2 linked regions of the Macaca mulatta genome follow. The protein of the gene in region 1 binds, or shares a complex with, the protein of each later gene. Links are inferred from orthologs where the notes say so. Each region holds a gene or a part of one and is shown on either strand. Other genes may lie near its edges.

Region 1 (11,302 bases):
ATTTTCTCCATAGATGTCAACATTCATCACTGTTAAACAAAAGGGAAGGGGGAAAAAAGAAAAAACCCAATAAGCTAGAACAGAAGAAAACATCTTCAGCCTAATGAAGATCATCTACTGGAAGCCCAGAGCAAGCGTCCTACCTCAGGACGCAACGTGAAAACCATTCCCACTGAGAAAGGGGCAATCAAGGGTGCCATGCAACATCACACTGGAGGTCCTGGCCTCCGAGAGTCACAAGAAATAGACATGAGTGTAAAGGAGGAGATGAAACTGCCATTAGTGGGATACAATTTGGCTATCTAGAAAGCCACAAGATCAACTGAAGAACTGCGCATTCGACAAGGTGGGCAACACAAAGATGGACACACAGGTGGATGCCAGGGATGGGCAAAGGTGATTTCTACAGATCCTTCACTACCAGTAACTAGGACTTTCATAAAACTCCTAAGACTAAATCAGATTGGAAGTAAAAGCCCATTTGAAGACCACACCACCTTCCCAAAGAACATATCTCATTTCTGGATAGGAAGATGAAAAACTGTTAATTTTTCTACAATATTTATTTAAAAATAAAATAAAAAACAGGGACGGGCATGCTGATTCACGCCTGTTATCCCAGCACTTTGGGAGGCCGAGGCGGGCGGATCACGAAGTCAGGAGATCGAGACCATCCTGGTTAACACAGTGAAACTCTGTCTCTACTAAAAAAATACAAAAAATTAGCCAGGCGTGGTGGTGGGCGCCTGTAGTCCCAGCTACTTGGGCGGCTGAGGCAGGAGAATGGCGTGAACCTGGGAGGCAGAGCTTGCAGTGAGCCGAGATTGTGCCACTGTACTCCAGCCTGGGTGACAGAGCGAGACTCCGTCTCAAAAAAAAAAAAAAAAAATGATATTTCCAGTGAGCAAAGAATGAACTGTCCAAGAAATAGTATAGGGACAAGTGACTTTCCCTTTAGGAGAAGTTTGCTACCTCTCAGAAAAAACAACTTCAGATGAATTATAGATACACACACATACATATCTTTAACCCATATCGTCTATTTTTGGTATATACATCTATATATTTTATACATGTATATTCATACATACATATATACAGATGTATATATGTTTAAAGCCACACTATAAGAGGAAGCAAATGAGAAACAGATAAATGAAGTGATAGCTGGAAGACGTGGGAATCAGTACAGGTTTTCACGCCGGTTTCTGAAATGGGAGAGTCTACAGCACGCTTGGCACTAACACATCATATCCAGTAGACAGGACGGCCAAAAACACAAAACAAAAAAACAAAAGAATCAAACACCCAAACCCAAACAGAACAAAACCCAACACATATACCCGACCAAAGTCTTTAAGAAAGCAAAAGAGGTCGGGCACAGTGGCTCACACCTGTAATTTCAGCACTCTAGGAGGCCGAGGTGGGTAGACCACTTGAGGTCAGGAGTTCGAGACCAGCCTGGCCAACATGGCAAAACCTTGTCTCTACTGAAAATACAAAAATTAGCCAGGCATGGTGGCACACACCTGTAATCCCAGCAGTTTGGGAGGCTGAAGCAGGAGGTTCACTTAAGGTCAGGAGTTCGAGACCAGCCTGGGCAACATGGCAAAACCCCATCTCTCCTAAAAATAGAAAAAGTTAGCCAGGTGTGGTGGTGCACGCCTGTAGTCCAAGCAACTTGGGAGGCTGAGGCAGGAGAATTACTTGAACCCGGTAGGTGAAGGTTACAGTGAGCAGAGACTACACCACTGCACGCCAGCCTAAGCAACACAGGTAGAATCTGTCTCAAAAAAAAAAAAAAAAAAAAGGGCTTCGAAGCACAAGAGGTAAGGTTTAAGTCCCACTGGCTTACAACGGGAAGGTATGTGAGCACATCTGCAGAGTTGGTAACGGGGAGGCAGGTGTTCCCTCTGATAGCTGCTATTTCTTAATGAGGCATGGGTTGTGGTAACTACCACAAGAAGGGGGAATTGATAGATAAGACAGAAGTTTTGAAACAGACATCCCAGAGTAGATCCACTGGGCAGTGCTTAGTGTCCATCTGAGGTTTGTAACGATAAACTTAAGGTACAACGGCTGGCCAGGCTGGCTGTTTTCTCACCTAATGACGGTGACTTGGGTTTGTGCCGAGTTGAATGACTGGGTTTACCCAGGGTTAGGGTTTTACTAGCTGAACAGAATGGAGGGACACGGGGGTGTCGGGTGGACCATGGAACTGATGCTATGCAAGAGGGAAGTGAAGACAGAAGGTTAATCATGAGAATGTCAGGGCTGGTTAGAAGGATGAAGGGTCAGGGTGGAAAAGCAGCCTCCATTTAAAAGGTTACAAGACAATCAATGTCCTCAGGGAATACTCAGGTTTCAATTAAAGTCAGATGGCCGGACCATTCAAAACAAAGGTAAGGACAGAGAGATTTGCCAGCCACCTTCTGGAGCTGATGGATGGTGAAGAGTGGTGGGAGAGACGGGATGGCATGTGGGGATGGACACAGTAGCTGGAGGTGAGCACTCCCGTACGCAGGGTGACTAGAAAGGCGGGGAGAACAGCATGAGGCACCATGGGCTCCTGAGCGTCTCTTAGAGGCAGGTGGGTGTTAGGTCCTAGGACTGTCATCCTGAATGCTTGAATCGGTACGAACTGCAAGCAGGCAAGGAAGCAGGAAGCTCCCAGCTGTTACACACATGCAAGGAGGCCCAGCGCAGGGCCTGGCACTTTCTAAGTGCCCAGTAAGAAAGAACAAACAACCGGGGAAAGACTCCAGCCATTTCCCATTTCCTTCCCATTCAGCCCACCCAGTCACAAGGTCTCTTTACCAGGGAGCAGTTCTTCACCTCACCACAAGCCTCCGTCCCCCGAGAGAGCCACTCAGACACCAGAACAAGTCACCAACCCACCAGGGGTTTAATTCTCCTAATCAAAACATCAGTTCAGAGAGGGGCCCTGCTTTGTCCCCATCCAGGGATGAAGATCTGCAAAGCACCCTGGGAATGTCCAAGCCCAGAAGAGCCAGGGGCCCATCCCTGAGCAAGTGGAAAAGTGGGTCCTGGAGTCTCAGGTGGCCTCCTCCTCTTCGCTCTCCTCCTCACTCTCATGATACTGTCTGCGGTTTGTGTTAACAAACAGGTCAGAATCATCTTCTGAGCTGGACTCCTCTCCTGATAACTGTGGCTCAGCTGGGAGTTCTGGTTGAGTTTGTCTGCACGAAGGGAAAAGAGCAGAGTTAGCCCAGCACCTTCTGAGAAAACCAGATCTACAATCAAGGAGTTCCAAAAAAAGGAGGACCATCCGGCCCAGCAGTCAGGGCCCTACAGCACCCTTTAAAGACTAAAACAAGGGACAGAGGCAGAGCAAACAGTGGGGAAACTTGGCTAGAGAAACAGGCTAAAGACTGACCCCAGTCCCCAAACATGTGCCACAGCCATTTGTTTCAGTCAGGAATAATGATTCTACGACCACCAACTAATGCTTAATGAACCCGCATCACACACCAGATGCTGCACTAAGCAATTTTACAAGCCATCCACTTCTTTAATCCTCACAATGCTCCCATTTTATATATAAGGAAAATAGAGTTGGAAGGAATTAAATGACGTGCTTAAAGTCATTCAGCTTTAAGTGGCAAAGCCAGGATTTTAACCCAGAGAATCTGACCTTCAAGCCACATTCATAACTATGTACCACATACGTAGGAGCTCTCAACAGATACCCTATGTAAGGAGGAAAAAAGGCTCTATTTTTCCCTCAAGGCACCAAAGCATGAACCCCTTATTTTCCATGTGTCCCACCGCAAGGCTTGTTTCTCACCTGTTCCTGTTGTTGTGTTTCTCAGCCACTTCAGAGAAGGCCTCAGGCCTATGCCAAGAGATGAGCAAAGTCAGGGAGGACAAATCACTTTCTCACAAAAGAGCTGTTTCCAGCTGTCTCTGCCTGGGATGCCATGACCTTCCCTCCCCTAATTCCCAAGCTAGGAAGGCAATGCCTTCAGAAGCCAGAGAGTCAGTGATCAAGGGGACCACCTACCAAAAGCCCTCCTTCTGCAGGGAGCGCACGTGGTCCTTGCAGAGCACAAACGAGATCTCAGCCTTCACCTTTTCTCCCTCTTCAATGGGGTCAACAATGAGAAAGTCTCCTGTAGGTAAGAAGAGAAAAGGCAAAGTCAGGCCTGCCTGCAATAAGGAAAGCCAAAGCCATAGGAAGTGGTTCTATCTCCTAGAGAGGGCTGCCTCTCTCACCTCCCTGTCTCTCTTTTTTTCTTTTTTTTTTGAGACAGGGTCTTGCTCTGTTGCCCAGGCTGGAATGCAATAGCATGATCATAGCTGACTGCAGCCTCCACCTCCCAGGCTCAAGTGATTCTCAGGCCTCAGCCTCCCGAATAGCTGGGATCACAGGCACGTGCCCAACTAATTTTTTACTTTTTGTAGAGACAAGATCTCATTATGCTGCCCAGGATAGTCTCAAGCGATCCTCCCACCTCAGCCCCTCAAAGTGCTGGGATTACAGGAGTGATCCTCTCACCTCTCTTGATCCAGATGTTCTTGCGGTATTTAGAGGGCATGCTCACCAGGAAGCGCTGCCCTTGGGCTGTCTCCACCTCATGCAGATTGTTCCCTGGGGTCCTGAGTACCTGGTTCAGGAGAGACCAAGAATCAGTCTCATCGGTCAAACACTCTCTCAGCCACGCGCACCCTGCCACCACCCCAGGGGCCCTCCAGGGCTGGAGGGGTGGGGAGCAGAGCAGCTTGTGCCCAAAGCCACTCACCCTGACAATCTGCTGCTGGTCGGAGGGCACGATGTGCTCCCCCAGCACCTCCTTCACCACATGCTTCCTCTTGGTGGCCTGAGACATGCTGAAGTTGTCCCAGGGTGGTTAGGAACGAAGAGACTGTCAACTCCTCCTCCTGAGTTCCTTGGATGGCAGGCTCAGAACCCAGGACTGTTCTGAAGATGGGGAGGGGCCTTTTACTGAGGGGTGACACGGTGTCTTGGTTAAGAACATGGGCTCTGAAGTCTAACTGCCTGGATTCAAATCCTACCCTCATTTATTTCCTAACTATTCAACTTCTCTAGGTCCCAGAAAAATAACAGCTAACTCAGCACTGTTACAGAATGGGACAACAGTGCATGTCATGTAAAAGTAACTCCGGCAGGGAGCTGTGGCTCACGCCTGTAATCCCAGCACTTTGGGAGGCCGAGGCGGGCGAATCACGAGGTCAAGAGATCCAGACCATCCTAACACGGTGAAACCTCGTCTCCACTAAAAATACAAAAACTTAGCCGGGCGTGGTGGCGGGCGCCAGCTACTTGGGAGGCTGAGGCAGGAGAATGGCGTGAACCCGGGAGGCGGAGCTTAGAGTGAGCCGAGATCGTGCCACTGCACTCCAGCCTGGGCAACAGAGAGAGACTCGGTCTCAAAAAAAAAAAAAAAAAAAAAAAGTAACTTCTACAATCTTAGGTACTGGTGTAATGTAAAACTATAGGAAAGTTCCAGATAAATCATCCTGGCAACCTCTCTGGAAGGAGTTTGAAATAAACCGTATCTTTCTCAACACGCTTGTACACCCCAAGTCTGGCACAGTCACACAACAGAGAAGTTCAGTCTGGCAACACACTACAGCCGGAGACAAATTAGGTGGCCACCGTGATGGTCCAAGCCAGGAACTAGTTAATTAAAGGTTGAGGTGAGCAGGCTTGTCTGCGACATCTGCATTTTTCTGACTTGCGTACTTAGAAGACGAGGACCAGCACCCTTAAGACTGATGGTTTCCGAAGGAAACACTGTCATCTCTAGTTGCCGTTCTCCTTCCTCCTCCCTGTCTATCCCGGAGAAAAGACCCTCAGAGAAACACCCACACTCAGTCTCTGGCCCTGGGCTCCCAGGAACGCTGCCGGAGCAACCCCGCTGTCCAGGCTGGACGCTGAGAGAGGATCGTCCACGACTCACTTCAAGGCTGAGCCAAGAAAACACAGTAAAGGAACTTGCCGGCGGCCGCGACGGTAGCGTCACCTCGAAATCAGGTCTCCAGCGTTCCCAGTTCCCACCAGTCCCACTGCGAGGAGTGCGACGTGAGTCTGAGTCGGATCCCTCCGAAAACCGTCTTCCGGCGCTGTCTCAGAGGCCTCCCGGCCACCCGTCCCCTCCCTTGTCCGTCTTCTAACTCTTCCCTACGCCAGGTCGGTCAAGCCTAAGTCCTTGAGTTCCGGGTCCGGGCAGCACAGAAAGGAAGTTCTCTCCCTGTAGGCCTCTCTCCCTCAGAACTGCTCGAGGAGCGAGACCTCAGAAGACAGGGCTTCCCGCGAAGAACCGGAAAGGAGCGCCTACTAAGGACGCCGTCGAGGTCCGTGGCGCCTCAACTCTATAGCTCTAACTGGCTAGAAGGGCCCAACGTGGAAGGTTTTTTTTTTTTTTAAAAGGCGGCTGAGGCGACCCGGAAGCGGAAATGGAAGAAAGTTCTAGTGGCTTGACGTATCCGCGGGAGCAGCAGGGTGGCGGGAGGAACCGTTACGGGAACTGAAGCTGCCGGTGAGCGCGAGCCGCGGAGCAGGGCCCTGGCTGGAGGCCAGAGGGATTGCGGGGAGAAGGGGAGGAGAGGGGCCGCAGGCGCTGTGGCGGGCCCTGGGGGAGAGTTTGGCCGCGCTGCGGGGAGGGGGCGGGGTGCGGCGCGTGGAAGCCGGGCCGCGGGAGGGGGCGGGCCGCGGCTGCGCGCGATGGGGGCGGAGCTGGGGTGCGGCGTGTGCCCCGTGGACGCGTAGCGGGTGTGCGCAGCGCTCGGTGTGCGCTTCGCCCTGTAGGTAGAGACTCTGGTTAGCTTTCCACGCCAAGTGGCTGTTCCAGGCAGTCAGTACCTTCTTGGCTCAGCCAAGGTCACAGAGGGAGTGACAGCTTCCGGGCAGCCCTGGCTACTGACTCTGGGAATCTTCCCACTGCCCCGCTTGCGCCACCTGTTAGGCAAGATTGTTTTTCTTCTGGGGCAAGATCAAAATCCAGGTCCTGCAGGAAGAAACTCCTTTTCAGAATAGTAGGGAAGAGTCTCCCTGGATCTCGGTTTTCTCCTTTCAGGATGAGGGGGATAGAGCAAGCCACCGGAATCCCTGGCTTGGCTGCCTCTTACTGTGAGATTGCTAGTGGGCTCTTAGGAGTTCCAGGTCTTCAGCCCTAATCTGCCTTTCTTTTGGGATTCCTAGATTAAGCCTGATCAAGATGACAACCTCCCAAAAGCACCGAGACTTCGTGGCAGAGCCCATGGGGGAGAAGCCAGTGGGGAGCCTGGCTGGGATTGGTGAAGTCCTGGGCAAGAAGCTGGAGGAGAGGGGCTTTGACAAGGTGTGGGGTGGCCGCCTGTACCTGGTGCAGGCGGGGGTGGGAGGGAAGTGAGTCCATCTGCTAGGGGGTGGACAGTGGGGTATAATCTGAAGAGGCTGCCAGAGCCTGGGCACCTGGTGGAGAGGAGATGGGGGCAAAACCCACGCTGCTTCTTGGGCTTGTGTACTCTGAATGGCACAGGAATGGCCGCCTTGCTCTTATCCCTCACTGAACACTGAGCAGCACACCCCTTCCTTTTTCCCTGTTTTGCAGGCCTATGTTGTCCTTGGCCAGTTTCTGGTGCTAAAGAAAGATGAAGACCTCTTCCGGGAATGGCTGAAGGACACGTGTGGCGCCAACGCCAAGCAGTCCCGGGACTGCTTCGGATGCCTTCGAGAGTGGTGTGACGCCTTCTTGTGATGCTCTCTGGGAAGCTCTCAATCCCCAGCCCTCATCCAGAGTTTGCAGCCGAGTAGGGACTCCTCCCCTGCCCTCTACGAAGGAAAAGATTGCTATTGTCGTACTCACCTCCGATGTACTCCAGGGTCTTTTGGGAGTTTTCTCCCCTAACCATTTCAACTTTTTTGGATTCTCGCTCTTGCATGCCTCCCCCGCCCTTTTTCCCTTGCCAGTTCCCTGGTGACAGTTACCAGCTTTCCTGAATGGATTCCTGGCCCCGTCCCTCACCCCCCACCCTCACTTTCAGTCCGTTTGATACCATTTGGCTCCTTTTTGGGCAGAACAGTCACTGTCCTTGTAAAGTTTTTTAGATCAATAAAGTCAGTGGCTTTCATGACTGGGCTTTGTGCACTGAAAAACAAGTGGGCTGGGAGTTGCCTCTTCTCCAGGGACGGACCATGTCTCCCTCACTCCTTATCAGTAGAGACCGAAACTGGCAGCTTCCCTTCCACTCCCAGAGGGCAGTCATGCTAGCCATGTAGGCCTCAGGCAGGTGACTTGTGTCTCAATCCCCGAGTGATGTGGGAGAGGGTGTGGGTGGATCTTTTCCTGGGAGCCAGATGGACGGTGCTCCAGATGTTAGTTAAGTCAACAGCTGGGCTAGGCAACACCTGGTGGAAAAGTCAGTGGGAGTCAGAGGTACCAGACAGGGTGGGCCAGATGTGGGTGAGAGTTCACCTGCCAGTCAGCATATCATCTGCTCTCCTGGCCTCGGCAAGGGTGAGCAGGGCGCTTGCCATCTTCCATGATCTCTTAGGTAGGAGAAGGAGCACAGGCATCACAGCTGGAAGGATGTGAGGGGAGTACACCTCAGTACATTTTAGTCCTATTCTTTTTGTTTACTTTTTAACTTAATAGAGACGGCCCTTCTGTGTTGCCCAGGCTGGCCTTAAGCGATCCTTAAGCCTCTCAAAGCGCTATGACTATAGGTGTGAGCCACCATACGTGTCCAGCCCTGTTATGTCTTGAACACTTAGTATGAACCAGGCTTGAAGCTAAAATCTTTGCAAACATTTTTTTCTTTCACAATAATAATAATTTTCTCTTTTACAGGTGAGGAAACTTGAGGCTCAGAGAGGCGAATTTGCCCGTGGACTTGCTCCTGGGAAGTAGCCAGACTGGAACTCAGAACTAGCTTGGAAACGCATGGACCGGGCCCTGTGTTCCTTGGTCATGTGGCTTATCCTCTCTGAGTCTCAGTTTTCCCACTTGGAAAATGAGATGGTTGTAGGGAAAGGATATTTGCAGCAGTGTGAACAACAAAGGAGTATTTCCGTAGCACAAATACAACTGCAATCAAGAAAAAGGTGGACTGGCTGGGCGTGATGGCTCACGTCTGTAATCCCAGCACTTTCAGAGGCCGAGGTGGGTGGATCACCTGAGGTCAGGATTTCAAGACCAGCCTGGCCAACATGATGAAACCTCATCTCTACTAAAAATACACAAATTAGCCCGGTGTGGTGGTGCACGCCTGTAATCCCAGCTACTCAGGAGGCTCAGGCAGGAGAATCGAATTTGGGAGGCAGAGGTTGCAGTCAGCCAAGATCATGCCATTGTACTCCAGCCAGGGTGACAAGAATGAAACTCGGTTTCAAAAAAAAAAAAGAAAAAAAAAGGCAGACAGCACAACAGAAAAATAGGTAGAAGACCTAAGATGGCCACAGAAGAAGGTTCCCTCCCAGTAAATAAGCACAGGAAAGGTGCTCCATATTGCTAGTAATAAGACATCACATGCCATTAATACCCATCTGACTGGCAAACACTTTTAAGTTGGACAATACCAAGTATTGATGAGATAGTGAAGCAACAGGAACTGATACCCAGCTGGTGGGAGTATAAATTGATCTAAACAATTTGGGAAGACAGTTGGGTGTTACTTAGTAAAACTGACACACCCTGTGACCAAGCAGTTCCACTCTCAGGACTGTGCCTTTGAGAAAGTCCCCAACACCTGCAGCAGGACTGAGGCGAGTTCGCAGCTGCAATGCTGGGAGCAACACTAGCGGCTGTCAATACTGGAGTAGATAAATACGCATTCATGCCACCGGGCACTGAACGGAGGTGAAAATGAACAAATGATAGCTGTGTACAACACAAATCTCCATAGCAAATGAAGCCAAACAAGTTCGTAGGAATTCCTACATAGATAGGAAAACAAAGGAAATGATTATGGTAAATGGTAAAGGAAAAAGTCTACAGTGATTATCTTTGGGGGAGGATGTGGAAGGGCTTAAGGGTAGGCTTGGCCTACCCTGACCTGTGTTTCTGGCCTGTGGGGTGGTGGTACAGGCATTGACCAAAAGAGTGTGTTCTACGCCCTTTTCTGTGTATTAGCTACATCTCAGAACAATAAAAATATAAAAGGAAAACCAAAAATAAAGACCTGAGGCTGGAACGATCGTGTGATAGGTCAGAAACTAAATTGTTATTTGTAGGGATGAGAGTTCTGGGCAAGGCTGGGACCGGGAAGTGCGAGTGGCCCAGCCTGAAAGGGACACTGGGGTGGCTGCAGCAGGGCCTAGCTTGTGCTTCCTGCCGCTTCCTGGGAGGCTGCTGGTCTGAGGCCTGGCTGAAGTCACGAGGGCTCTCTCTTGAGTTTCATACTGTTTCTGATGTCTTCCTGGGTAAGTCCCCTCAGCCTTGACCCTCGTGCTGTGATGCTGTCGCAGGCCTGGTGTGTTGAGGTGGGGACTTTGCAGGACCCTGGCCTCACCCACACCTCAGCCCTGATGCTGCCAGATTGTTGCTGGTGCTCTGTGAGGTCATGGAGACTCCCTCCTCCTCCACGAAGCCCTTGCCTGGGCTCCTGCCCACACTGGCTTCCTGATTTGGCCTCGCCTGACTCTGGCACTAGGAGCCTGCTGGAAGCCTGCGGCTCATGCTGTCTGCTTTATTTCCTTGCCATCTGCCTTTCCCAGCTCACCCACAGGCTTTGCCTTAGAAGGGGCTGGAACCTGCCTTCTCACCTCTCCCTTGGGGCACGGGCAGTGAGTATACCAGGTGGCAGGCCACAAACCCTTTATTAGGACTCCATATTGCATCCCACACAAGTTCTTGGCTCTGTCCTGGGACAGCAGTAGACAAAGGGTATCTAGAATGTACCTTGTGACAGTGTGGCCTCTCAAATCCAGCCTGACTCAGCCAGCAGGACAAAGGGACCACAGCTTGGAATGCTGGTGCAGAAAGCAGACCTGGTGGTGAGGGGTGAGAGTCAGGTTGTCTAAGTGTCAGCCCATGGTACCCAACAGGACATGCCTGGCCATCCGCTAGCCTGGGACATGGGTGGGCCCGGAGATCAGCAAATACTGACCCCGTGTCCCCATGCCCTCACACCCAGCCAGAGCTTGACACCCCTCAGCCGATCTAGTCATGAGTGCTCAGAGCCCGCCTAGAACCTGGTGTGAACACAGCCCATGCACTCTGGGGTCCTGAAGGGCTCCTGCTGCCCCCGGAAAGGAAGTAAGCGGAGGCTACCTGGAGCACCACAAGCCCTGCCCCGCGGAAGCCTGCTGAGCATGGAAGGCTCCCAGCAGGTGCTT
Region 2 (12,268 bases), on another chromosome or scaffold:
CCCCCGGTGTCTGTCCCAAGTCGGGATTGTGTTTCCTGGGGTGGGGGCAACAGGTTGTGGCAGGCATTTGCTGGGCGCCTACCTCAGGCAGGGCCCCAGGACGGGACTGCAGGACTCCGAGCCCTGGGATGAGCCTGACTGCCATGGATCGGGCACTGCCAGGTCTGGCCTGGGGTGGGCAGCAGAAACAGGACCGCTCATGGGGACACGAAAGTTAAGTTTGTTTAGTATTAAGAAGATTCTGATCTTAAAGAAAACATTGGCTGGGCATGGTGGCTCACGCCTATAATCCTAGCACTGTGGGAAGCTGAGGCAGGTGGATCACTTGAGCCCAGGAGTTTGAGACCAACCCGGGCAACACAGCAAGACACTATCTCTACCAAAAATATAAAAATTAGCTGGGTGTGGTGACATGCACCAGTAGTCTCAGCTGCTCAGGACGCTGAGGTGGGAGGATCGTTTAAGCCTGGGAGTTTGAGGCTGCAGTGAGCTATAATTTCACCACTGCACTCCAGCCTGGGTCACACAGTGAAACCCTGTCATTAAACATAAAAAAAAAAAATGCACTGTAGCTCATGCCTGTAATCCCAGCACTTTGGGAGGCCGAAGTGGGTGGATCACGAGGTCAGGAGTTCAAGACCAGCCTGGCCAAGATGGTGAAACCCCGTCTCTACTAAAAATATAAAAACTAGCCAGGCACAGTGGTAGGTGCCTGTAATCCCAGCTACTTGGGAGGCTGGGGCAGGAGAATCGCTTGAACCTGAGTGTCAGAGTTTGCTGTGAGCCGAGATCACATCACTGCACTCCAGCCTGGGTGATAGAGTGAGACTCTGTCTCAAAAAAAAAAAAAAAAAAAAGGCCAGGCGCAGTGGATCCCAGCACTTTGGGAGGCCGAAGTGGGTGGATCACGAGGTCAGGAGTTCAAGACCAGCCTGGCCAATGCAGTGAAGCCCGGTCTCTACTAAAAATACAAAAATTAGCTGGGCATAGTTGCAGGCGCCTGTAATCCCAGCTACTCGGGAGGTTGAGACAGGAGAATCGCGAGAACCCAGGAGGCGGAGGTTGCAGTGAGCTGAGATCGCACCACTGCACTCCAGCCTGGGTGACAGAGCTAGACTCTGTCTCAGAAAAAAATAATAAAAATAAAAATAAAATGTTAACAGCTCAGTGAACAATCATCTACTTGTTATAGATACTGAGGAATATTTCCATGTTGATATTTTTTCCTCATAACTCAGTCACGTTGGGATTGTAAGTTATACAACATATACTGCTTGCCAGCCATTCCATCCTTAAGGAGCAACTCAGTTTTCTTATTCTTGACTTAGAATTGGTTGCACCACGATGTCTCCTCTGCCTGCACTTCCCAGGAAGAATCCCCTGGAGACCCTCAGATTTTCCTGTACATGCCCTTCCCAGACCCTCTGACGACTGCAAATCCCACCCTACCCTTGACGGGAAACTCTCTGAGGCTGTCCAGGTCATCAACCCCAGGGACCAGGTACTGGTGGGGGAATGTTCCATGAATTAATTGCTGTACTCAGGGCTCTTGGACAAGTCTCCCCTGATCACAGGGTCCTGACTCTCCCGGTATAAGATGGACGCTCTGCTGCTCAGGAGCCTGCCTGGCTTCCAGTGGTCTGGAGTGGAGCTGCACTGCAATGGGGCTGGACTTAGGCTCCAGGTACCCACAGGGTGGGTGCAGGGGGACCATCACAGTTCAGCTTCCTGGTGCCATCTGTGGTGGGACCTGATTGTGGGGCAAAGGGGTGGGACATAAAAGGCAGAGTGCCGAGGCAGGTACAGAACGGGTGGGGGGTGCTCCTTAGGGAGAAGGCAAATCTAGAATTCCTTGACCTCATAAGGAAACAGCTTGGATCCGTATGGGGAGGGGTGGCATGGGGGAGGATGGAGCAGCACTTAGTACACAGAGGCCTCTGGGAGATGCGCCAGGATTGCAGAAGGCTTGCAGAGGTGCTGGGGAATCTGATTTTGTCAAACCTAAAAAATCCACGAGGCAGCCTCTGAGCAGCCCAGAGTCCAAACTGCCATCTGTCCCCTCAGCTCTGAAAGATGAGGTGCAAACCCCTGCCCTACCCAAGGCTCTCCTGCTGCACACTGCCAGGCACTGTCTTCATGGACCCATACTTCCTCCCACATTGCTGGGCACAGAGCAGGGCCTTACCAACAGTGATTCCTCTTTGTTAGGATCTTTGTGTGTAGTCAAAACAAAGACCCATCTCCTCATTACTCCCCTAGGTGTCTACCTCTTCCCACCCCATGGGCAAACCTCCATGGATGACTGGTCTGTGACCCTCACCAGCTGGCTCAGTCATTCTGGACACAACCAGAGCCCTCCCCTCTTCTTCCCTTGTCACCAGCCCTCATCTGTGAGACCACAGATGGTATGTCACCTCTTCATGCTCCCAGTTTGGGGCCTACCCAGTGAGGGGCACACTAGTTGATTCCATACACCCTCAGCTGGCTTTGTTTAGAATGTGAATGTCACAGTCAGGTGCGGTGGCTCATGCCTGTAATCCCAGCACTTTGCTGGGAGGCCGAGCCGGGCTGATCACTTGAGGTCAGGAGTTTGAGACCAGGCTGGCCAACATGGCGAAATCCCGTTTCTACTAAAAATGTAAAAAGTAGCCAAGCGTGGTGGCATGTGACTGTACTCCCAGCTACTCTGGAGGCTGAGACAGGAGAATCACTTGAACCCGGGAGGTGGAAGCTACAGAGAGCCAAGATCACACCACTGCACTCCAGCCTGAGTGACAGCGAGACTCTGTCTCAAAAAAAAAAAAAAAAAAGATATGAATGTCACCTCCTTTCCCTTCTCCATGGGACAGCCCATATCTGATCAAGGCCCTGGGAATCCTAGCCACAGTTCAGGCTCCTGAGCAGGCCTTGGCAGCCTTCCATAGCTCATCACCGACGTCTGCCCCCTGCCTAGACACGCTGCCCTCAGGGACTATTCCGACAGGAGAGGACGCCCCGCTGCAGCTCCCCCCAGTGCCCCGGGTGAATGAACGGCATGAAGGATTAGGCGGGCACACGTTGTCTCTGTACGCATCGCACGGCGCCCTCTGCCCGCGCCCACTGGCGTGCCCGTCGGCATGCCCGGGCCCCTTCGAAGGCTGCTTGCTTCTGGAGTGCCAGCGGCCTCCTGGCCCAGTGCCCCATTTCCTCCCGGGTAGAGTGAGGGAGGAGGAAGGGAAGCAGAGAGGTAGGCGGTGGGAAGCAGCAGGCACATGTGCGCGGGCGAGAGCCCTGCAGACTGGGAAGAAGGGCCCGTGGCAGGGGGTCTGCGGAGATCCCATAGGCGCGGGCCTTGCCCCGCAGCCGCTTCCCGAGCAATGCGCACACAAAGCGCCCCCGGCAGTGCCTGGCCCCGGGCCCGCGCTCTCTTAGGGTCCGCTGCCGGGGCGGCCGACCGGGATGCGGCCGGGAAACCCTAGGCTCTGGGGCCCAGGAAAGGGGGGCGACGGCGGGGAGCAGGGATGTGCAGGGACCGGGCGAAGTCCAAGTGACTTAGGGACCAGAGCCACCCCAAGCGCCGACTTCGCCCGCTCGCACGTCCCGGGTCCCTAGCGCGCAGGCCCCATCCCTCTCACCCGGCTGGCTCAAGCGCGCCACAGGGTGACGTCTTGGCTCCCAGCCGTGTCGCCCTGACTCCCGCGCGGGCCCCGCCCCCTGCCGCTAGCCAATCTATGCGTTTGTGACTTTTGGGCCCGCAGCCCCGCCTACTCCCACTGCGATACCAGTTTGCATTGCCCTGACTCCCGCGCGGGCCCCGCCGCCTACGCCGCTAGCCAATCCGTGCGTTAGTGACGTGTGGCGCCCCTCGCGGCGCGGCTTGCTCCCACCGCGAGACCTTCTGCCCCGCGCCCGCGCGGGCCCCGCCTCCTCCATCGCTAGCCAATCCCCATGTTTGTGACGTAAGGGCTCTCCGCTCCGCTCGCTCCCAACGCAAGACCTTTTGCTCCGCGCCTGCGCGGGCCCCGCCCCCTCCATCACTAGCCAATTCCCGTGTTTGTGACATATGGGCTTGCGGCCCCGCCCGCTCCCACCGCGAGACCGGTTCCCACCACCCTGACTCCCGGGGGCCCGCCCCCTCTGCCGCTAGCCAATCCGTGAGTTGATGACGTTTGGGCTCGCGGCCCCAGCCTCCCAGCTCTCAAGGCCCGGCCGGTCTGTGCCGGCTACTCCCGCCGTTAGGTCCCGCCCAGCGCAGCGCGCGCAGCCTGCGAAGCCAGCGGCCGTGACGCGACAGCGATTCGGCTGTGACGCGAGTGCGGCCGCTCCCGATGCACTCGTGCCGCCCCCGCCGTGCTCCTAGGCAGCCGTTGCTCGGCCGGTTTTGGTAGGCCCGGGCCGCCGCCAGGCCTCCGCCCGAGCCCGCACCCGCCATGGACGACTACGCAGATCTTTCAAATACCGAGCTGACCGCCTTGCTGCGCCGGTACAACATCCCGCACGGGCCTGTAGTAGGTACGCGGCGGCGGGCGGGACCCCTTCCGGGCCCCCTCCTCGTGCTCCGCCCCGCGACCTCCCCGCTGCCCTCCCCGCGCCCCTTCCCCGGACCGCGGCCCTGACCGCCCCGTGTCCGGCCAGGATCAACTCGTAGGCTTTACGAGCAGAAGATCTTCGAGTATGAGACCCAGAGGCGGCGGCTCTCGCCCCCCGGCTCGTCCGCTGCCTCCTCTTATCGCTTCTCTGGTGAGAGCCTCGCCTGTGGGGACGGCCTGGGACGCGGGGAGGATGAGGTAGCGAGGGTGTGGCAGGGGTGCCGGTCGAGAGCGGCACTGGGGAAAGGGGAGGGAAGTCTTGGGGTGGGGGTGGGGGTGGGGGGGCAAACAGTTCTGTCTCCTCCTTTCAATCCAGACTTGAATTCGACGTCAGGGGATTCAGATATGTATGATCTTCCCAAGAAAGAGGACGCCTTACTCTACCAGAGCAAGGGTAAGGCAGGGGTTGGGTGGGCACGCTGGCACCTTCACCCGACTGCGTCAGGGACCCCGCTCACAGGGAGGACCTGAGACCTCAGTCCCAACCACTCCAGCAGCCTTAGGAGGGAGAAACTGTCACAGGTCCCGAAATGGGATTCAGATTAGGGCCATCGGGCCAGGCGGGGCACACCGATGCCCCCTCTGCTACCGCTGCCCCCCTTCCCAAGGCTACAATGACGACTACTATGAAGAGAGCTACTTCACTACCAGGACTTATGGGGAGCCCGAGTCTGCGGGCCCGTCCAGGGGCTTCCGCCAGTCTGTGACTTCACTCCCAGATGCTGACACTTTCCACCACCAGGTGAGCTGGTTGGCAGGCGTACTGTACTTGGGTACAACCTAGGGGATCGCGGCTGTGTTTGGATAAATCCAGGGGGCCACTGGGTACAAATGGTGGCCCTTGGGCCTCTGGGGAGACTTTGGCTCAGCAGACACCTGTTTGGTCAGGGTCCTACTTTGGGGAGCCCTCAGAACTATGTGACTAGAGCACATAGGATGCGTCCTGCACCCTGGTCTGGGATCTAGGCTCCAGCTCTTCCTGAGAGTCCTGGGGGCAAAGGGGGGTGCTGGGGCATGAGCACAAGTAGCAAGGCCCCATGGATAAAAGGCCGAACACCCAGAGTCATTCAGGAGGGTGTGGGTCCCTGGCCTTTAACCAAAGGTCAGAGGGGACCTGCTGGGGAAATTTGAGAGGGACGTGGCAGGGCCATTGTGGCCCTGCCAGCCAGTTCCCTCACCTTGACTCTCTTCTACAGGTACGTGATGACGACCTTTTGTCGTCTTCTGAAGAGGAGTGCAAGGATAGGTATGTATGTATGGGGAAGGCCAGGGACAGGGGCTGGTTCTGGACCCAGGCTCCTGGCCCACCTGTTCCCCTCTTTTGCCTCAGGGAACGCCCCATGTACGGCCGGGACAGTGCCTACCAGAGCATCGCGCACTACCGCCCTGTTTCAGCCTCCAGGAGCTCCCTGGACCTGTCCTATTATCCTACTTCCTCCTCCACCTCTTCTATGTCCTCCTCATCATCTTCCTCTTCATGGCTCACCCGCCGTGCCATCCGGCCTGAAAACCATGCTCCTGGGGCTGGGCTGGGCCAGGATCACCAGGTCCCACTCTGGGGCCAGCTGCTGCTTTTCCTGGTCTTTGTGATCGTCCTCTTTTTCATTTACTACTTCATGCAGGCTGAGGAAGGCAACCCTTTCCAGAGGGAGCCATGAGGGTCTGGGCTTCAGAGCCAGGTCTTCTGGGGAAGTCCTGGCTGACTGCCTTAGCAGTGGGGGTGGGGGTGGGGGTGGGGGCAGGGGCAGGGGCAGGGGCTTTTATGTGTTCTTGCTTGGGGGGCGCTGGGCCTAGCCCAGAGTAGTGCTTGCTCCCCCTGCCTTGTCCCACCAGGGAGGCAGCAGATTCAGGCCCTCCATGGGGGCCTGAGTGTGCTTTCCTCGGCAGCCTCCTGGCCCTGCTTGCCTGTAACCCTTAGGGTCCAGGAGGGCAAGGCCTCGCTCAGTCAGAGGAGAACATGGTTCTTGTTGTCATGCATGCCTCCTTTTTGTCATCTTGTTGGGGGGGATTAACCAAAGGCCACCCTTTGTTTTCGTGGACACACAATAAAAACCCCATTTATTTTTAATGCGTTGGCTCTTCCTGGAGGAGAGGGTTGGGCTCCCATGGCAAGGGCCTCTGCGTCTTGGGACTCGAGGATTGCAATCTGGCTTTGTTGGGTCCGCATTTTTGCTTTGGTCTGGGGATAGGAATCAAATGCTACCCAGAGATGTTTGTGTTTTGTTTGGGAGTTTTATTCCCTAACTCATTCCCCAAAGCACCTGTAACTGCTTATACATATAATTGTGGTACAACAAGGCGTATACAGAGAACCCACTTAGAAATTCAGGCAAAGCAGCCGGGCGCGGTGGCTCAAGCCTGTAATCCCAGCACTTTGGGAGGCCGAGGCGGGCGGATCACGAGGTCAGGAGATTGAGACCATACTGGCTAACACAGTGAAACCCCGTCTCTACTAAAAATACAAAAAAGTAGCCAGGCAAGGTGGTGGGCGCCTGTAGTCCCAGCTACTCGGGAGGCTGAGGCAGGAGAATGGCGGGAACCCGGGAGGCGGAGCTTGCAGTGAGCCGAGATCGCACCACTGCACTCCAGCCTGGGTGACAGAGCAAGACTCCGTCTCAAAAAAAAAAAAAAAAAAAATTCAGGCAAAGCTGCATGCATGCTACCAGCAGTCTGCGGGTGTTTTAACTGGAAAAAGCTGAAGTCCACCCCAGTGTCCAAGGGCATGGGGACGGAAAAAAAATGAAGCATCTCTGGCACATCATTCTCAGCTCCTGGAACTGCTGCTTGTTTAACATGGGAGAAAAGCTCCAAAGGCTGAAATGCCCCATCATCCCTGGGTGATGGAATTCACCTGCCTATATTCTCACTTAGCTCCCAGGTTTTCTGCCCTGGGTATGTATTTCATAATCTTCTATATATACATATATATAATTTTTTTTTTTTGAGACGGAGTCACTCTGTCACCCAGGCTGGAGTGCAATGACGCCATCTTGGCTCACTGCAACCTCTGCCTCCTGGGTTCAAGCAATTCTGTCTCAGCCTCCCTAGTAGCTGGGACTACAGTCACACGCCACCATACCTGGCTAATTTTTGTATTTTTAGTAGAGATGGGGTTTCACCATATTGGTCAGGCTGGTCTCGAACTCCTGATCTCAGGTGATCCACCCATCTTGGCCCCCCAAAGTGCTGGGATTACAGGTGTCAGCCACTGTGCTCAAAGTTTATATTATATACACACATATATACATATATATGCATACATATACATAGATATATACCTGTATATACATATATATATTATTTTATTTATTTTTTTGAGATGCAGTCTTGCTGTTGCCAGGCTGGAGTGCAGTGGCACAATCTCAGCTCACCGCAACCTCTGCCTCCTGAGTCCAAGGGATTCCCCTCCCTCGGCCTCCCGAGTAGCTGGGACTACAGGTGTGCACCACCATGCACGGCTAATGCTTTGTATTTTAGTAGAGACGGGGTTTCACCAGGTTGGCCAAGATGGTCTCGATCTCCTGACCTCGTGGTCCACCCACCTCAACCTCCCAAAGTGCTGGGATTACATGTGTGAGCCACTGTGCCTGGTCTACATATATTTTTTTAAGTGGAAAGTGGGTACTAAAGCCCAAGACAGGCCAGGCATGGTGGCTCATGCCTGTAATCCCAGCACTTTGGGAGGCCATGGCAGGCAGATCACAAGGTAAAGAGATCGGGACCATCCTGGCCAACATGGTGAAACCCCATCTCCAATAAAAATACAAAAAATTAGCTGGGTGTGGTGGTGCATGCCTGTAATCACAGCTACTCAGGAGGCTGGGACAGGAGAATCGCTTGAACCCGGGAGGCGGAGGTTGCAGTGAGCTTAGATCGCACCACTGCACTCCAGCCTGGGCGACACAGCGAGACTCCGTCTCAAAAAAAAAAAAAAATAATAATTAAAAAAAAAACAACCCAAGACACAATGCCACATGTTGCTGGGCACGCCTGGCTCTATGCTGCCGGCAGAGGGCGGGAAAGCACAGAGGGGCTGCCATCCACTGCACACGGGCAGGTGGGAAACAGGCCCAGCAAGGGGTGGGGTGCTGGCATTAGTCCCCCTTGCCTTTGGCTCCTTGCTGCAGGTAGTGGGACAAGCCAGCCTCCCACACTTGGCACAGCTCCCATGCAGTGCCTGCACATGCACCCGTGGAGGCAGGGCTGGGGCTGGGACCCTCCCTGGCTACTCTTGACCATTTATCTTGGCTGCATCCTAGTCTCTCCTCATGTATATTTTTGGTCCTAAAATAGTGCATGGTCCTTGTGTGTTGAAAACATGCAGAAAAGAGCGAAGCACTTCTAATTTTCTTACCACTCAGTTTCAGCCTTTCTTGTTTGTTATAAGCTCCTCTTACCTAGCTCACTCCCAGAGCCCAGCCACTTGCTGTGTGGACTCCCCAAGCCCTTGCCCTCTGCCCCTCACCATCCCAAGCCCAATGCAACAGACTGATGGCTGGCCCTGCAGCAGGCGAGACCTGGATGGTCCATGGCAGGTGGTAGGCATGCGCAGGGGATGCCACCTCCTCACAGGTCCACCTTAGGGACCCAATGGTCCCATTAATAAGCCTGTACGTGGGGGGCAGAACAAACAGGTTGCTACTACCAGGACCCTAGAGGGATGCAGTGACAGCCTCCTGTTTCAGCAGCTGATAAAAACCAAGTACACTGACAGGAAGAACTGAACTCACCGAAGTCCAGTTCCCCCAGGAAGCACTCACTACTTCGGATTGTGGCTGGACAGAGGCAGATGGGGCCTAGCAGGAACCTATATGGGACCTGGGGTGGAGGCAAGGTTGACATCCCAAAGCTCTGGAGTAATAGCCGGTGTCAGGGAGATGGGGGATGTGGAGCTGGGCTTGGGGCATCCCAAGGAGGGAAAAGAGATATCCAGGTATCTGGACGAAATGGTGCTTTCTAGGCCTTAGGTCAGGTCCTGGATCTGTTACAGGTGAGGAGTAAAGAGGAGGCAGCCGGGTGTACTTGGCAACCCCTGTGGTGTCTGGCGTGAGGGAAGAGAGGGAAGGAAGGAACAGCGGCCACCCCCAACGTAGCTTGCCCCTTTTCATTCATTCCAAAAGAGCTCCCAAGACTGGATGGAAGAGGGCTCCCGGAGTCCCCACCCCATTTCCCCAGGGAATGACAAGGGCTGCAAGACTCCTACCCCAGGGCTCAGAGACTCCCTGCTCCTGAGGGCCCACAGCCTTCCCCAGGGCTCTGCTCCCACCACCTCCCTGAGCTCCCCCTGGATTCCTGAGGCCTCCCACTTGGGCTTGGTCACCAATCCCCAGGGCTCCGTGGGCCTTGGAGTACTCCCTCCCTGTTCCAGGGCTCCTCAGAGCTCTGCCAAGCTCATCCTGTGATCTGTCCAACCCCCAGGGCTTTGAACCCCATGAGGGATTCCAACTACTCTGGACACACCCAAGTGCACTGGGTGCCCCAACTGGAACCAGAAGGATTAGGAAGGTTCCATGGGCCTCAAGAGCCTCCAGGCCTCCACTTAAATGTTCTCCAGAGCTCTGAGAGACCACTGTGGCCCCGCTTTCAAAAGCCCCCAAATAATCTGGGGTCCCCCGCAGGGTTCCAGCAGTACTCAGACACACAGCAGGGGGCAGCAGCTGCCCAAGGTCCCAGCAAGAGGCCACTCTGGGGACTGTCCAAGAAGATACTGGATTTTTTTCCTCCGCTGCCCCCAGGCCCTGCCAGACCAGGGAGGAGAACCAACAGAGGGGGCTGGGAGGGTGTCGAGGTGGCCAGTGGAGAAGGAGACGGTGGAGAGGAAATGCAGGGCCAGGGCCCAGAACCCGTGGTCCTGGTAAGGCCTTTGACCTCGACCCCAGACAGGTCCAAAAGGTGACAGCGCCAAGGCCGGCCAAGAAGGACCCTTGCCTTGACCCTCAGCTGCGGTGGAGGTAGGAAGGGTGTCTGTTGGGCCGCTACCACTTTCAAGAAGAGAGTGCAAGAGGTGTAGAACCTGTGGCTTCATGAGGATAGGCCACTCCTGACTCTGATGGCATAAAGGAAAGGAAAACGGCAGAGGAGCCCTGCCTGACTTCCACTTGGGGCTGAGCTGCTGGCCCCAGGCTCAGGGCGGCCACTCACTGAGAGACACGGGGCAAGCAAGACACAGAAAGGGGAAGTCCCACCCCCAGCCCCAGCCACTCTACTGCTCCCCCTGGGCCCAATGGCATAGAGGCAAAGGGGCCAAGCACACTCTGGAAGCATCTAGAAGCCACCAGCTGAATGGGGGTGGGAGGCAGCAGAGCCAGGCCCAGAAAGATCCAGTGCCAGTGGGGAGGACGGGAGGTCCCCCTGAGGCTGCGACTTGTCCGCTCAGCCCACTGTGTGCCCAGGATTCTGAACCTCTGGGGCACCCCCTCCTGCCCCGAGTCACCCAGAGTCTCCTGCCCCCTCCCTGTGCCGGCTCCATCGTATCCTCTCCCAAGCCCCATGCCTGGCAGGGCCACCGGGGTAACCGCCCTAGGGCTGGGCTGGGTGAACCAAGGGCACCGATCCCCCAACCCTCCGGATCATCCCCAGGCTGCAGGGACACATGTGGGGCAGCAAGGGCGGTAGATAAACTAGGGGGATCCAGGCCCCTGAGGACAGCCCTGGCGGGAGGCCACAGGCCTCACAGGGCGGTGAGCTGGAGGCCACCCAGGCAGGCAGGCAGCAGGGAAAGAGATTGGCATGGTCGTGGCCAGCGGCCTCCCCGGGAAGGGCGGGCAAGTAGGAGCAAAAACAAGAGCAGAGCACGGGCCCCTACCCTGCTGGGGCCTATGGTCTGGGGACCCAGCCACACTGAGGAAGACCCAGGAGGACCTGCCAGGCTACTAGGAGATAAAGGGTGCACAGGCCTCCAACCCGCAGGTTATGTCTGGACTGAGTCCAGGGAGGGCAGGGAGGGGCGGTAGCCCAGTTGACTTTCCCTCCCCTAAGCCACACCTCTGCACCCCAACCCTCCCTTCTGCCTCCCGACAGCCCCATCCTCGCTCTCCGAGGCAACTGGGAGGGGACCTGGAGAGGAAACAGAAGCAATGGCCCCTCAGAGCGGGGTTCCCCGAAATCTATGGCCAGGGACTGAGTCTAGCACTCAGACACCACTGGGAACACTGGCCAGGAGTCCCTCGGGTGGATCTGGGAACCTGCTGCAGAAGCTTAGGGGACTCGGCCAGCTCAAGGAAGGGCTCAGGCTGGAAACTGAGCAGGCAGGGCACCCCTGGACCTGGGGCCGAGGAGGACAGGAAGTAGGCAACTATGGAAAGACCCCCCCACCACCACCCACCCTCAACTCGGCACACAAAGGCCCAGAGAGGCCCCCAGACATCACTGTGGGGGCAGGGGTGTTTGCAAACATCCGCAGAGGGACCGGGTGTCACAGGCACATGGACAGCTTGCAGGGCCCGGCTGAGGCTAGGACAGAAGCAGGGGGCTGGCAGGAGGTGCCCGGCCAGGGTCCCCAACTGTGCGGGAGGCAGGCGGCACCAGTCCCGGGCAGGATCTCTCAGAAGAGGCACCGTACCCAGCCAGGGCTCCCGGAGACAGGGGTGGTGGGGCCGAGTGTCCCCTCACCCTGTGCCTGGCCCCCAACAAAGGGCGAGCATGTATCCTTCTTGGACACAGTGTCCAGGGAAGGGCACTCCCAAACTGGGATGACCCCT

The links.
Region 2: the proteins of BANF1 (region 1) and EMD are in contact, whole or in part, in a crystal structure (PDB 7NDY), measured with the Homo sapiens proteins. The link is inferred for Macaca mulatta from reciprocal best matches to the Homo sapiens genes BANF1 and EMD. Residues at the interface, in NP_001137457.1 of Homo sapiens: Arg37, Phe39, Gln48, Val51, Leu52, Lys53, Asp55, Leu58, Glu61, Trp62, Asp65; in NP_000108.1 of Homo sapiens: Pro22, His23, Gly24, Pro25, Val27, Ser29, Thr30, Arg32, Leu33, Tyr34, Lys36, Lys37, Glu40.

Annotation. Positions count from the first base shown.
Region 1 is NC_133419.1:8,411,958-8,423,259, reverse strand, and holds BANF1 (barrier-to-autointegration factor), read left to right. Parts: upstream 1-6,435; 5' UTR 6,436-6,441; coding exon of another isoform or gene 6,442-6,467; 5' UTR 6,468-6,524; exon of another isoform or gene 6,525-6,950; intron 6,951-7,186; coding exon of another isoform or gene 7,187-7,202; coding exon 7,203-7,325; intron 7,326-7,577; coding exon 7,578-7,724; 3' UTR 7,725-8,090; downstream 8,091-11,302. Other genes in the region: probable RNA-binding protein EIF1AD, read right to left, coding at 3,056-3,200, 3,809-3,856, 4,025-4,133, 4,520-4,628, 4,764-4,850. UniProt on the Homo sapiens protein: Non-specific DNA-binding protein that plays key roles in mitotic nuclear reassembly, chromatin organization, DNA damage response, gene expression and intrinsic immunity against foreign DNA.
Region 2 is NC_133426.1:160,527,361-160,539,628, reverse strand, and holds EMD (emerin), read left to right. Parts: upstream 1-4,311; 5' UTR 4,312-4,409; coding exon 4,410-4,491; intron 4,492-4,614; coding exon 4,615-4,719; intron 4,720-4,884; coding exon 4,885-4,962; intron 4,963-5,176; coding exon 5,177-5,310; intron 5,311-5,764; coding exon 5,765-5,814; intron 5,815-5,898; coding exon 5,899-6,226; 3' UTR 6,227-6,633; downstream 6,634-12,268. Other genes in the region: uncharacterized protein LOC114675007, read right to left, coding at 12,112-12,268. UniProt on the Homo sapiens protein: Stabilizes and promotes the formation of a nuclear actin cortical network. Stimulates actin polymerization in vitro by binding and stabilizing the pointed end of growing filaments. Inhibits beta-catenin activity by preventing its accumulation in the nucleus.